2 linked regions of the Rattus norvegicus genome follow. The protein of the gene in region 2 interacts with the protein of the main gene of each other region in a pairwise test. Links are inferred from orthologs where the notes say so. Each region holds a gene or a part of one and is shown on either strand. Other genes may lie near its edges. The genes, in order: Pdcd7 and Fez1.

Region 1 (2,936 bases), about 30 Mb from region 2:
AAAACACCCAAATCACATCAAAAGAAAAAAAAAAGAGAGAGAATCATGCTCGGTTGTCTACCTGGCCCTATCTCCATCAGGAGCAATGCTATGTCCAATATTCTGTGACTCGATATTCACAGTAACTTGACAGAACCTACCTACTATCAATAAGATGTTTAAAGATTAAAACTTGTGCAGTGAAGCTAAAACTTTTCCTGAAAATAAATGTGATATGCCAGAAAACTCCTTCCCAAGATTTAGAAATTGCTGGAATGTGGAAGAAGTCTCTAGTATTTCAAGCCATTTTTCTAGACCCCTAAAATGTTGGAGCCTAAAAAACAAAGAAATGCTTCTAGGCAACAAGTTTACACTGCATGGGACATCCAGTCATTGACTTCTCAAAAGACTGCATGCGGAAAAGCAGCTGTTGTCACAGCCTGGACAGCTGAGAATCACCCAACTCCTAAGTAGCTAGTTCAGTTGAGAGCATTATGCTCAAACTGCAGGCACACAGGGGTCAGCATGGGCCTTCACCTCCATGGGCAACCATTCAGGAAAAATCTTTTCCTGGATTGACTCAGCACTAAAAGAGAATTAAGAAAACAAGGCCAGCTATGCTGATGCAGTCCTTAAATTCCAGCATCGAGGTGGAGGCAAGTAGATCTCTGAATTCAAGGACATGATCTACAGGGCAATCAGCCACATTTCAGTTTCTTTACCCGTTCAATTGGAGACACTGACTTCCAAGAATTAATGAGGACTTTAAAAATACAGGTGGCACCCTTGAAACCTGGCAATACTGCGTACCCAAAAGGAACTTTTAAAAATAGAGACAGCAACAGACCTCAATGGTAGAAGTTCTTCATTAAGAGCTTCCTGTACCCAAGAAAAAGGGAGAGCAGAGGCTTCCCTTCTGACCTTATTTGAATGAGCGCAGGCAAGGAGTGCTCAGCCTGGAGGTAATACTGACGGAACGGCTCCAAGAGGTGAGCGAGTGGGAACTCATCTGAAAGAGAAAGGCACAACATGTCACCATGTTTGCTTGCTGTTAAGAGTGCACTCTCAAGGCAAGGTGACTGAGCCACTGATTATGACAATAAGATCACCCTCATCTCTGTACCCCTGACTTTCACCACACAGTTCAGAATCTCAACTTGTAGTCAGGTCTTCCTTCTGGCTTAAGTTGGGTTACTTTCAAAAAAGAACTCTCAACTTAGATCTTTCCTCATCTCTACTGGCAAAGATAAGATTACCTGGATCCCCGAATAACTTGGACTCGATTTCACGTTTCTGAAGTAGAAGTTTCTCTTTCTCTTTTCTCTGTTTCTTTTCCAGTTCTCTTCTCCTCTCTTCCTCCTGTTCTCCTTCTAGCATAACTCGGAGGGCTCTCTCTTCAGCTTCATACAATTCAGAGCGCTTTTTAATGAGCTTCCTCAGCCGCTGAAGGTGGTGCTCAAAGGTCTCATCTGCTGCCGCAGGAGGACAGACCCCTGTACAAAGACAAGCAGATGGGTGGTCCTTTGCTCTTACACTCCTAGCAGTAGGAGGCGGAGCAAGTACTTGCCATGTGCTTCACACACACCCACTACAGTGTGACACTAGCTGTGGGCAGAACTAGTGTCACTCCCTTCACAGAGTGACCTACGTTCTCAGGGAGGACAACCATCTGCCACATTCCAGAAGAAGCAGAATTTGCACCTCCTCCAGGAGGCTACCTTTTCCTTCTCTCTCTCCAGCCTACTTTGGTTTCTTTACTGACCTTCACTTTGACATTCCCAAACATTTGTCTTTCTGGCCCTCACTCATCTCATTCCAGCTCATGCTACTTGCTAATGAACTAACTCATTGTGTGTGTGTGTGTGTGTGTGTGTGTGTGTGTGTGTGTGTGTGTGTGTGTGTATGTGTGTGTGTTGTGTGAGACATGGGGGGGGGGCATGTGCACAGGTATGCATCCCATGCACACCAGTGTGAGAGTGTGAGACATCAGAGGACAACAGAGGTCCTGTTCTATTGCTCTTTATTTTTGTCCCTTGAAACAGGGTCTCTCAGTGCTAGAGAAATGGCTCAGCAGTTAAGAACATTGTCTACGAAAAACAAAACAAAAAAACAAAACAAAACAAAAAAAACCCATTGGCTACGTTTTCCAGAGGATCCAGATTCAATTCCCAGCACCCACATGGCAGTACACAACTGTTTGTGAAGGACTGAGGTAGCAAAATAAACTCCATTTTGTTCTTAAGACTCCATTTTAAGTTAACTTGCCCTTAGAGAGGCATTGGCCCCTTCCCTTGAAGTCTGAGAAAAACCATGAATGTCTCTGACAGCTGCAAAATAGACACAGCAGCTGCAGCTGGCTGATAACAACAGAGTCGGCTAAGGAAACCTAAGTCTTTCCCAGGTCAAGGTGCTCCTTTTTGATGTAGGCTCCCTCCTTGTAGTTTAACCAGATGCTGTAAACCAATTAGCTGAAAGACCAACATTCCTTTACCCTCTCATGTAATGCCAGGACTTGGAAACCCTCACTTGCATTTTTTTCTTTATAAACTCCCTTCACTTAGACCTGGGGCACTCTTCCCCCTGTTCCAGCAGGAAGGTTGGTGGCCCAAGCTCAAGCTTGGCTAAAGACCCTCATGTTTATATCGGTGCTGTGATTTCTGGTGGTCTCTTTGGGGTTTTTACAATCTAGACACAACATTTGTAACTCCAGTTCTAGAGGATTTAACACTCTAATACAGACATACATGCAGGGAACACACCAATTCATGTATACAAATAAATAAAGTCATTGAGGGGTTGGGGGTACAATTAGGCTTCCCAGTAGCCAGGAGAAAAACAGAGGCAGGAGGGTCTCTATGAGTTCAAGGCTAGTCTAGTCTACACAGTGAGTTCCAGGTCAGCCAGGGCTACACAGCAAGATAAGACCTGTCTCAAAACGAAAAAAAAAAAGAAGAACC
Region 2 (3,822 bases):
CTGGTAGTACAAACCTGTAATCCCGGAGGCTGAGGCAAGAGGATAGCTAATCTGAAGCCTGCCTGGGTCTCATAATGCCTGGGCAGCTTAGTGAGCACCTGTCTCAAAGCTTAAAAAGCAGAGGGCACAGCTCCGGGGTAGCACACAGCAGTCTCTAGGTTTAATCCACAGTACTGAACCTCAGTGCATATTTATACAAATATAGAAATCTGACCAGATGGATGGACCTTGAAGTTAAAATTCCTGATTCTCAAGGACATGGTGTGTATGGATGTTGGCAAGACCTGTTTGCTGCAAACTCTGCTTTTGTCCTCGAGATGGATGAAAAGGAAGTATTTCTTCACTCTTAACTTGGGAATGGGGTACGGTAAGGGGATATTTGTCTTCCTAGTATTAGTAGAAGCCCCCTTCCTTTAACCTGACCAATAGCCCTGCACTGGCCCATCCTCTCCAGGGCATCCACAGTGTACTGAGCAGCCTTGTAAGCTGTCATTCAGCAGGCCCAGTTGCCTGGAAAATGGGATTTCTATCTGATCCACTGAGCATGTCACCAAGTCTTAGTCTAAGATTTTCCTCCTCCCAAGAGTGCCCAGAGGACACTGCTACTTGAAGCTGGCCTTTTGAACGTTGCACTATTTCATACATTCATAGATAGATGGATTCTGCCTACGAGAAGCATTTTATTACATGTTGCTTCTTCTCCCTGCAGTTCAGAATGTGTATTAATACGGATCAAAGCAGCTAAACTGGAGAGGCAGTCACTTCCTGGAGAGAAAACCAGACTCCATTCTTTCCAAGCAGCCTGGCCCCACCCAAAAAGCCTTGCTTCACATTAAAAGGACAGCAGGACGGACAGCAGGGCCCACCAACAGCTCTCTGCTCTAAGGGACCTAGGTATGGGCAGCCCAAGTGGAGAAGGCAAAGACCAGGGAGCTGTAGGGAAAACAGAAAACTCTGCCCCATCCCTCTAGTACCTTCCTACCCTTTAAAAAAAAACAAAAAACAACCTGGGTGTCACAGCAGAGTATTTTTAATTGCGCCTCATTGAAGAGGATACGATATGCAGAAATGTTTGCCCTATGCAAAGCCATCCTAAAGAAACTGAATCTGGGAAGTGAGAACAGGAGGCGCACAGGCGAGGAGGGACGGCAACTTAGGCCTGAGGCTGAGGAGGAGGAACTCACTGTTTGTCAGCATCTGCAGGTCTTCCACAGAGGGAGGAGAAGATTTCTTCTCATAAGGGATGACTGTGTTCAGGTACTGCCAAGACAAACAGGGCATGCAGACTGTGAGTCATGGTCCCTCTTGGGTGGAGGCACAGTGGGCAACCTGAACCTGGACCTAACTTTCCATCATATTCTGGACAATGCTCTCCATCCGTAGAACGCTGTTACTCTAGAACCTTCTTCCACCTCTTTACGTGTATCTCTAAAGTAGGCTTTCCTGTATTCAGTGGGGGAAACTTCCACTACCCCAACTGATGCATTCTTAATATGCTAAAGTCCTTTTGGTTCTCAGAATCCTAGGAGTGTTTCTCCTCCTGGGTGAGAGCTGGGGCAGTGTGTACAGTTGAATTCTTCACAGTGCAATTTGGGAAGAAATTAGTTCTCTCTTGTCAAAATGACATATCTACCTGAGATCTTGATTGTAAAATTTGCTCCCTCTTACAACAAAGCAAACCTCGAGGTGCCCAGCCAGTAGGCATCAAAGACCAGTAGGCCAAGAGATCTTGTCAGGCTCCTAGGGAGTCCTAGGTGATAACAGGCCCAAGGTCAACAGGCCCTGTTAGCCACGGTGAAGATACAGACAGCTACTCTATGATTCTGGGCCTCAGTTCTCCCAGGACCAGTGAGGGCTGGTTAGATGTTCCTAGTTTTCCTAGGCTATGGTCATACAGCTGTAACCCTTAGGATTCAGCCTTGATCACTAAAACAGCATATATACTTCTCCATCGTTTATTCCACATTTTCAAAGTTGGCAGTGCACACACTGTGCCTGTACACACCGTGCACATACTGCCAAGTCTACTAGATTTTGTACTCCATGAGGGGAGGCCCAGGACCTCTCACTTCTGTACCTGGAGGACCTAGCAGCAGATCACAGCACATAACAGGCAGTTGTCAAACTCTGCCGTAACAACCCAAAGTGCAAGCCACATCACAGATGCTGTAGTTTGAATGTAATGTGTCTTCGAAAGGTTTGTATGCAAAGCCTTGTTCCCCAGGGTCATGGTCCTGGGATGCACTATGGTCCTTTAAGAGGCCTTATGCTGGCCCTTAAAGGATATTGAATATTCTTTCTTGACTTCTTATGTGTCCCACCCCATTCTGTCTCTCTCTTTTCTGTCAAGTTTGACATGGGACTCCTTGTGACTACAAACACATCCACATGATGTCACCATACCAAATGCCAAACTGGTAAGGACACCCAATAAAAATAAATTGGTAAAACTTTGTTTTGTTTTTTTTTTTAAGATTTATTTATTTATATGTAAGTACACTGTAACTATCTTCAGACACACCAGAAGAGGGCATCAGATCTCATTGCAGGTGGTTATGAGCCACCATGTGGTTGCTGGGATTTGAACTCAGGACCTCTGGAAGAGCAGTCAGTGCTCTTAACCACTAAACCGTCTCTCCAGCCCAAGTTTGTTCTTTCTAAAGTTAATTGCTCTGGGTATTTCATCATAGTACTTCAAAGCTGACTGCAAGTTACTGTCAAAATGAAGGCTAGAGAGTGCCACAGCGTGACTTAGACTTACAGAGTTGGAGGTTGAACAGGCAAATATTGGTGGCACAGGCTCAGCTGGCCATCAAAAAGACAGAGTTGAGTAGTCTCTAAGATGTGTTCTGTTCTGAAACAGATCCCCCAGTGCACTTTATTCTTAAAGCAAACTAATTCATAGGTCTACATTTGATGTGGAGTTTTAAGTTTTATCCTTGTCCCGGGATAAAAGACCTAAAACAAAATAACAACAACAACAAAATGACCTTTGAAAGACTTTACCTATGTCTTCCTGACAAATAAAAGAAAATGTTAGGGAACCTCATGCTGGCCCAGATTTTGGGATAACTCTGTTGACTCTCATCTCTGGTGAGGAAATGAGCCGTCTGGAGGAATAAAGGAGCTATCGGGCTGCACATACCTGTCTGTCAGCTCCTGAGGAGCCAAAGGTCTGGCGGATGCCACTCTGCAGGATGTTGGAGATGCCCTCCATGCTGAAACGCTAAGGAAGAAATACACTCAGGATGGGCACAGACTTCCTGCCCCAATGTTACCACCCCAGGGACTTCTGTGTCCTTGCTCAAATGCTCATCAGCTGTCACACTGCCCTCGGTAATTGGCAGATGCGCAGAGAAGCCAAAATTCAAGCAAGAATGGGTAGCAGTCTTAGAGACTCATTTGGGTAAGTCCCTCAAGGTTATAAGACCCTTTTGTCATCCCCAGACTTCCTCATTTTATCCTGTATCCTGCAAAGAGAAAAATTAGACAGGACAGCTCGATTCTGGGGAACTAAGATGCAAAGATCTTAGTAAAATAGATGATGAAGTTTTCAGGAAGTGTAGGTTCCAGAAGTGGTCTGGTGCGGGAAAACTTTTCTTCAAGAGGCATGTGGCCCTGGCCTAATTCAATAGATCTGTACTAGAGTTAGGCAAGGGTGCACTGAAAAAGTCGATTAGATAATACTATGGACTTCATTCTATCAAGAACCTATAAGCTATCTGGTCACCTTTTAGCCATTCACATAGTCCAGCAATACCCTACACCTGCCCCAAAGAGACCAGACCAGACAATAACCCACACCAATGGTAGAGATACAGA

The links.
Region 1: the proteins of Fez1 (region 2) and Pdcd7 interact in a two-hybrid assay, tested with the Homo sapiens proteins (2 studies listed by BioGRID and IntAct). The link is inferred for Rattus norvegicus from reciprocal best matches to the Homo sapiens genes FEZ1 and PDCD7.

Annotation. Positions count from the first base shown.
Region 1 is NC_086026.1:74,767,660-74,770,595, reverse strand, and holds part of Pdcd7 (programmed cell death protein 7), read right to left. Parts: intron 1,473-2,936; coding exon 1,236-1,472; intron 989-1,235; coding exon 901-988; intron 1-900. UniProt on the Homo sapiens protein: Promotes apoptosis when overexpressed.
Region 2 is NC_086026.1:44,767,775-44,771,596, reverse strand, and holds part of Fez1 (fasciculation and elongation protein zeta-1), read right to left. Parts: intron 3,227-3,822; coding exon 3,146-3,226; intron 1,261-3,145; coding exon 1,185-1,260; coding exon of another isoform or gene 1,093-1,184; exon of another isoform or gene 1,013-1,092; intron 1-1,012. UniProt on the Homo sapiens protein: May be involved in axonal outgrowth as component of the network of molecules that regulate cellular morphology and axon guidance machinery.